Linked DNA regions of Macaca mulatta. The protein of the gene in region 2 purifies or fractionates together with the protein of the main gene of each other region. This does not show direct contact. Links are inferred from orthologs where the notes say so. Each region holds a gene or a part of one and is shown on either strand. Other genes may lie near its edges.

Evidence for each region.
Region 1: the proteins of SBF1 (region 2) and MTMR1 purify together in Homo sapiens (affinity purification with mass spectrometry; 4 studies listed by BioGRID and IntAct, with this or other methods). This does not show direct contact. The link is inferred for Macaca mulatta from reciprocal best matches to the Homo sapiens genes SBF1 and MTMR1.

What each region holds. Positions count from the first base shown.
Region 1 is NC_133426.1:156,978,443-156,982,248, reverse strand, and holds part of MTMR1 (phosphatidylinositol-3-phosphate phosphatase MTMR1), read right to left. Parts: intron 2,773-3,806; coding exon 2,623-2,772; intron 1,709-2,622; coding exon 1,520-1,708; intron 1-1,519. UniProt on the Homo sapiens protein: Lipid phosphatase that specifically dephosphorylates the D-3 position of phosphatidylinositol 3-phosphate, generating phosphatidylinositol. Could also dephosphorylate phosphatidylinositol 3,5-bisphosphate to produce phosphatidylinositol 5-phosphate.
Region 2 is NC_133415.1:982,925-987,349, reverse strand, and holds the start of SBF1 (myotubularin-related protein 5), read right to left. Parts: upstream 3,059-4,425; 5' UTR 2,876-3,058; coding exon 2,821-2,875; intron 1-2,820. UniProt on the Homo sapiens protein: Acts as an adapter for the phosphatase MTMR2 to regulate MTMR2 catalytic activity and subcellular location. Promotes the exchange of GDP to GTP, converting inactive GDP-bound Rab proteins into their active GTP-bound form.

The DNA.
Region 1 (3,806 bases), on a different chromosome or scaffold from region 2:
TAAGGATCCAGGATTATTTCAGGTGGACCCTAAATGTCATCACAAGTGTCATTCGAAGAGAAAGGAGGAGACACAGAAACACAGAGCAAGAGAGGGTCATGTGATAACAGAAGAAGAGATTGGAGTGATGTGGCTGTAAGCCCAGGAAGGCTGGGGCAGCCACCCCATGCTAGAAGAGGCAAGGAATAGATTCTCCCCTGGAACGTTTAGAGGGAGCAGAATTGGCCTCCAGAATTGTGGTCAATACATTTCTGGTGCTATAAGCCACCAAGTTGGTAGTAATTTGTATGACAGCCTCAGAAAACTAATACTCCCCCATCTTCCTCCCTGCCCTGTTCCTCTCCCAGTCTTCCCCATCTCAGTAACAGACACCACCCTCAAGTCAGACACCTGGGCAGCCCCCTTGACCACAGGGGTGGTGAGCTTATCAGCATCATGTACTGTGCCCTGAGGATGCACCCGCCGCTGTGCTAAGTCATTTACATGCATTCTTCTCACTGAATTTTAATCCTCACACAACCGTGACATGAGACACTGACATTATCTCCTGTTTACAGAAGAGGAACCTGAGGCACAGAGAGAGGTTAAGTAACCAGCTCTGGAATCTAGAGCACCAAGTGGCAGAACCTGGAGGAAAACCCAGAGGTAAGTGATTCCAAAGCCGAGATGTCTCACCAACTTACCATCCTGCCTCTCAGGCCAGTTGGAATACACGGAGGGTTTGTGGCCCGGGAAACAGCCAAGCAGAGATGTCAGCCATACAATGGGACAGAAATCCAGTCTCAACCTTAGGAGGGATCAGGACAGGATAGAAACTGCAGTGTCAAGCTCAAGTTGAACTCAGCATACAGACAGTGTTTAAAGCTGTGCCATCAGAGATGGCCCCAGGAGTCTGTGTGGAGCAGAGAGGACCCCAGACCGAGTTCAAGGAGCAATGCCATTTGAAGACTGGGAAGAGAAATCAGTTAAGGAGATGGAGAAGGCCAGGCTGAATGAAAAGCGAGAGAAACTCAGGGTGTGATATCATGAAAGTCATGGGAACGGAGGTGTTTTTAACCACATCTCACTGCCACCCAAGGTACACTACACAGGTGCTCCATGAGATTTATGGAAACTTTGTACATTTACACATTTCACATCGCTGATACCATTCTAAAAGAAATTCAGACCAGACATGAATTAATCAAGTAACCACTATATTTCTTAAACGGACTTTCAAGTCCTCACGATCGTATCATTAAAATGCTAAATCCTTTAGATGATCATTGTCTTTCTAGGTCTTTGCTTAATTGATTTAGCAGACAGGATATTGTAGAGAAGCAATGAAACAGACAAGATCCCAATTCATGTGAGACACCAAACATAGCCCAAGGAGCATACACCAGGGAGGAATAGCTATGGACTCCAAATGATTCTAACTTCAGGTGGTGAAAAATCAACGAGTTATTCCAACTGCATAATGATTTACAGACAGGACATGAAAATATCCAATGTTTCTGCAATGCTATTAAGAATATACCTTGTTGGTATCAGCGACACTGTTTTGTCGAGCATCAAAAATGATAAGCTTGTGTGACTGTGCGTTAGCATCCATTATTGTTTGCAAATATTTTTCATCCTCTTTGCAGCGCTTATCATTGGGACCCACAAGTGGCTGGCTGCAACGGGTAATTGTTGCTTGACTTTCCGGATGAATCCATGACAACACCTAGTGTTTTTAAGCAACAAGTGTTAGTACAGTTCCTAAAGCAATGTATGCTCTAATTACCTGGTAGGAAAAACAAGTTCCCTTCTCAAGCATGGTCTCTTACACATATTTTCTTCAAAAGTGAGAGTGGACAGGCCAATCACAGAGTTGTAGTGGCCATCAGACTCAATGTTTTGGTCAGGATGAAACAATTCTGACTACATGAGATCTAAAAATCCCCTCCCACCCCAAAAATTCTATGATTCTAAGAAAAACCCAAATCAAACTATTACTAAAATCTAGCCCCATTCCAATTTGATTGACTAATTTTATCTTGTCTCCTAATTTTAAAAACAACTTTGTATCTCAACAATAACATACGTGGCAGGATAAGAACAAAGTGAATATACAGTCTCTTATAAAATCTGCCACTCTGCCACCCCACCTCTCATTTTCCTCCAGTGGCCAAGTGACTCAGGATTACACCAGATGCAAACTCTGGGCTCAAACCATTACTCCCTGCTGTCTGCTACTACTTCTGTAATGATGTTCCCCCCACGCAGCTATGGCATCATGCTCAGTATCTAAGAAAGAAGCATTTTCTCTAGGATGATGCAGTGAAACCAGCAATGCCAACTGGTAATACAACAGCATGCTAACTTGTTCTTGCTACTCCTTTGTTATTCTCTACTACTTTTAGAGGGTATGACTAAAGTTACCCTTATACTTAGTTATAGGAAATCGTACAAGAGGGAGTCATAGCAAACAGATTGCTTATATAATTAGGTATCTGTTGAGAATCAAAGGTATATCCAGGTTTATAAGTTTATTTTTCTGCTTTCCATTTTTGTTCACTGAATTCTTGTCTTAAATCTTTCCATCTTAGACCTAACGCAATACATATTCCTGTATAAATGACAATGTTTATTACTTACAGGGACTCTGCCTTTTGCTCGAAAAGCTGCCACTTTTGAAAGGTCATCGTCTTTTACACTAGTTGGCACAACAATGATGGCAGGGTAGGTGTCACAGAACTCATAATTACTGTTTATTTTGGATATTTTCCAACTCTCATTTGGCAAACCCTGTAAGGTGTTGGAGAAAGAAGAAGAGGGGCAAATGCATGACTTTACGCTTTGAAAAAGTACTAAGCATGAAGCATATCCATTTCTTATTTGCAACTAAAATCCATTTATAATTTGTTGTTTATTGTAACTTAAAAGTCAATATATATATTTATTTGGTAAAACCAATTTCCTAGACATTTCTAAAAATCTAAAGAAGCAAAAGAATATCCAAACCATACTAAAACATGAAAATTATACACTAGAATCACATTTCTATATATTTCTTGTCCTATTTTCTATAAATAAGCTCAGTGTTATTTCTGAAAATATACTCAAAAGTCCTTTAGAAACACAGATACTTCTTACAAATGTCTAAAATAAGTAACGTAAAACGTTATACCAAATATAAGGTAGAGACAACATCATGAAACAAACGTAATGAAAATAAGATCTTAGTGGAATAATTTGAAGCTGACAATGCACTGAAGAGTTCCCAGACCCAGGAACACCGGATCAGAATTATGTAGCCACACCACATGCTTCGAATCTAACTGTAGTCGGTGGTTTGGATCCTTACTCATCAATTCTTTACCAGAACATCCAATAAAAACCATCTGGCAAATTTGGTTTTTAAACCCGTCCTTGTCCTTGAGTCCCACTCACCCTCTGGAAACAGGATGAACAAACAATTACAAAGTCTAAGGTTTGGCACAGGGAGAAGAGAGCATCAAGAGAGATGGAGAACTATAAGCTAGCAGTTACACCTGTGCATAACTTGTTTGAAAAAGTTTCTTCTCTGGCCGGGCACGGTGGTTCACGCCTGTAATCCCAGCACTTTGGGAGGCCAAGGCGGGTGGATCACGAGGTCAGGAGATCGAGACCATCCTGGCTAACACGGTGAAACTCCGTCTCTACTAAAAACACAAAAAGTTAGCCGGGCATGGTGGTGGGCGCCTGTAGTCCCAGCTACTTGGGAGGCTGAGGCAGAATAATGGTGTGAACCACGGGAGGCGGAGCTTGCAGTGAGCCAAGATTGCGCCACTGCACTCCAG
Region 2 (4,425 bases):
GGAGCTGGAAGGCCGCTGGCCAGGTCAGGGCCAGATCAAATGTGTCTCCTGCTCCCAAAGACACCTCAGCACTGGCCATGCTGTGATCAGGGCCCTTCTGGGCGAAGAGCCGGGCAGAGGTCTGTCTAGTCCTGATGCTGGCCCCAGGGCACAGAAGGTGATCCCTGACTCACCAGGTGAGGGACCTGCAGATGGGCCGGCGCCGGCCACCATCACTCTCCGAGGTGAAAGAGTCACGGCCAGCACAGGCATTTACCTTCTCAGGGCCCCTCCCCACCTTTCCTGAGAGGTTTCCAGCTGGTGACCACTAGCAACTGGGATGCTGCCTCAGGCAGGACTCGTGCACCCTCAGCACCCTGGTCCTGCACCCAGCAGCTCCAGACAGGATGTCCAGATCCAGGCAAGACAAGCTATCCGCCCTCCTAATCCCCAACCCAAGAGACCCTGCATCCGGCCCTGAAGTCATACTCAGCCTGACAGAACAGAGGGGGTCCTCTACCCACTTAGAAGTGTCTGTTGTATCTGTGCCTAGAGAATCCACACACCTGCTGCTCAGTCACTAAAGATACTCATCATTTCCAGGGCCCTCCTGTGTGCCACCGCTTCACACGTGTGCATTCACTGCATCCTCACGGCAGCCTGGGAGGTTAGCATGACTCACTCCATCCCCAGATGAGGAAACTGAGGCACAGAGAGCCAAACGACTGGCTCCAAGTCACAAGGCTCTCAAGGGGCAAAGCAGAGATAAGTGATCCCCACGCCATGCTCCTCTGCCTCTTCCGCCCCCGACCTGCCCTGGTACCTGGTTCTATCCTCAGTCCATGACCAGAGTCCCAGTCTATAGGCTTGTTCCCCTCAAGGATAAACAAGTCCTTCAAAGGCGCTGCGAGGCCAGCAAGCAGCTGACCAGCTCAACCCCAGAAGGTAGTGGGCACAGGGCTCCACGGTCCCCCAACCCTACTACAGTGGACCACTTATCACTCCTCCCTGCCACTTAGGGGAAGGGCGAGGGGGGCACTTCAGGCTCTAGCCTTCTACCCTGTCCTGCGCAAAGGACACACACACACACAGGTGCCTGCACTACATGTGGCTCCAGCAGTGAGCACACACATGTCACGGCCAGCTTGTCGTGGAGCCCACTCTGCCTCTTCTCTGTGCCCACCTTCAACTCCTCACCCCACGGCCACCAAGCCTCCCACCTGGCCTTTGCCTGCAGTCTCTGCCAACCGAAACCCTCTCCACACTGCCCTTAGGATCATCAGAGTCATCATCAGCTGTTCCTGCAGCCCCTGTTCCGACCCCCAGCCCAAGGCCCCTCACGCCAGGGCAGCCCTCAGCCAGCCTTGCTTCCCTCAGGCACTCTCTGCCCCAGGTGGTACGGCCTCCTCTTTGCCCCTCACAGGTGCCTCAGCACAGACAGCTCCCTCTGTGGGTCAAGGCAACACTGACAGCCAGCCTGCACCCGGGGGATGAGGACTGTGTGCTCCTAGCAAGCGAGAACTCCCTCTCTAAAGAAAAAGGCAGATGCTCACGACTGACGGTGCCGTTAGACACACACTTGGATAGGACGGTGCCATAAGACACACATTTGGATAGACGGTAACAGGGAAGAGCGTGTGCTGCGTAAGAGGCTACTAGGAGGGGCTGGAGATGAAGAAGACGCTAAAGAGGCTTCAGGAAGTGTGTGGGGGGTCCAGCAGAAGAAACACAAAGAAAAGAGAAGTCCAGGTCCTGGGTGGGGACAGCGACAGCTGGACTGACAAAAAAAACACGGTAACTGGGAAGGTAACCTCAACCCCACCTCAACATCCAGCCCCTGCCTGACCACACAGCCATCCCCACTTACTGCCCATCTGCAGCTAGGATTTGACTGCCTGGGTGCCAGTCCCAGCCCCTCTGAGCCGGCCCAGGCCAGGCAGTCAACTTATCCCCGCCTGACTTCTCTACAGATGGGGGCAACAGCAGGGCAACCCCGGTGGGCTGCTGGGAGGAAGAGGTGAGATCATGCACACAAAGGGCTGTGCGGGGCCTGGCACACCGAGCACGCTCGCCAGCGCTGCTGTCTCCAGGCTGCTGCTGATGTCATCGTCAGGCTCCGTTTTCTCCTACCCCCTGGGCTGAAGGGCTCTCAGACACGGGCGCTGACCCCAGACACAGACCTCCTGGGCATAGGCACCCATTGCCACGCTGATCCCCCACCCAGGGCTTGGCGTGCAGGGCCTGGCCCGTCAGGCGAGTCGCCAGGAATACTCCTCTCTACTCTCGACGCTTCCTCCTGAAATCCTCCCAGTTTCAAGTCAAACACCGCTTCTCCATGCACCAACCCGAACTCCACCCCCTCTTTGCACCCCGCCAAGACCGCCAGGGGCTTCAGACGCAGCACCAAGGTCAGGGGCGGGCTGGTGAGCCGCGGGTCCGCGCCCCTGGAGCCACTAGAGCCACAGCCGCCGGCAGCCGGCCAAGGGGAGAGCCCGTCCCACCCCACAGAGGCCGGGCAGGCCGGGCCCAGGCTTCCCTCCCGGCCGCCACCAGGCCCGCGCGGCCACGCCGCCCCCAGCGGACGCCCATTCTCCCCACGGGCTGTCAGGCCGCCCCGACCTTCAGCCCCCACCCGGGCCCCGGTCCCCGTCCCCGTCCCCGGCCCTCAGCCCTCGGCCCCCCGACCCCGGCCCTCAGCGCCCAGCCCCCGGTCCTCAGCCCTCAGTGCCCGGCCCTCAGTTCTCGGCCCCCCGACCTGGTCCCCAGCCCCCAGCCCTCGACCCCCGACCCCCGACCCTCAAACCCAGCCCCCGACCCTCAGCGCTTAGCCTCGGCACTCACCGCGCGGGTGCGGCCCGAACGCCACCAGCACGAAGTAGTCCGCGAGCCGCGCCATGGCGAGGGACGCGGGGCGGCCCGAGGGGCGCGGGCGGGCTCCGCGGCTCGGGGACTCGAGGGCGGCGCGCTCATGGCCCGGCCCCGGCGCTGGACCGCGCACCCCGGACACCCCGGGTTCGCTCTGCGGCGGCGGCGGCGGCCCGGGCTCCCGCCGCCATCTTCCCAGCCAGCCGGCCCGCCCGGGCGCGCCGTGCGCCTGCGTGCTGTCGTCCCGCCCTGAGTGGGCGGGGCCTTCAACCGCGCATCTCCATTGGTCCAGAAGGTACGAGGGCGGCTCCCCGCCCATCGCTGCCCACTCTGGGGCCCGGGCACCGCCCCTCGAGCCGGGAACCCGGACTGCGGCTCCGGCGGGTCTGACGTCCCCACCCGGGTGGGCCGTGGTGTCGGCGGGAGGCAGGGGCCAGGACCACAGCTGCCCTCGCGGTTGGGACTCCCCGCACAGGGGCCCGAACCCCACTCCTGGGCCCTCCCAATCTGGGGATCGGGTCCCCAGACGCCCCGTCCCCCGCCCCTCGCTGTCCAACTGGAGGAAGGCGGGAGGAGCCTGGGCGCTGCCCACCGGGCCCCCCAAACTAGAAGTCAGAGGAGGCGCAGGGCCGTCACCTCAGGGGCTGCCAGCCTGGCGATAGGGAATGGAGAGAATCAGGCCCTGCCCTTGGGGGTCCCAGGCTGAAGAGCCCCCATCTGTAAGGCGAAGTGAGACATTTAACACATTAGCTTAAAAACGGCACGCTCATGTCCCCCTGTAAAAGAGCAAGTGTTCTAAGCGTGTGAGGCACATGAGGCCACGGAGCAGGGGGCTCTAGGAAAGCTGCATCACCCAGGATCCCTGACAGTACCCACCCCTCTCAAGGGCAGGGCTGGCCAGGGCCACCCCTGAAGTGGCTCAGGGATGAGCATGAGCCTACAGCAGAACATGCTGGGAGAGAAGGTGCAGGAGCCAGCCTGGTGCAGCAGGGAAATCCCTCTGAGCATAGCAGGCCAAGGTCTGTTTTTTGTTGTTTTGTTTTTGAGGCAGAGTCTCAATCTGTTACTCAGGCTTAAGTTCAGTGGCACGATCTTGGCTCACTGGAACATCCGTCTCTCCTGGGTTCAAGCGATTCTCCCACCTTGGCCTCCTGCATAGCTGGGATTACAGGTGTGCGCCACCATGCCTAATTTTTGTATTTTAGTAGAGACGGGGTCTCACCATGTTGGCCAGGCTGGTTTCGAAGTCCTGACCTCAGGCCATCCACCCACCTCGGTCCCCCAAAATGCTGGGATTACTGGCGTGAGCCACTGCGCCTGGCCCACCTGAAGGTCTATTTTTTGTTTGTTTTTGTTTGTTTTGAGACAAAGTCTCGCTCTGTCGCCTAGGCTGGAGTGCAGTGGTGTGATCTCAGCTCACTGCAAGCTCCACCTCCCAGGTTCACACCATTCTCCTGCCTCAGCCTCCTGAGTAGCTAGGACTACAGGCACCTGCCACCACGCCCGGCTAATTTTTTGTATTTTTAGTAGCGACGGGATTTCACCGTGTTAGCCAGGATGGTCTCGATCTTCTGACCTCGA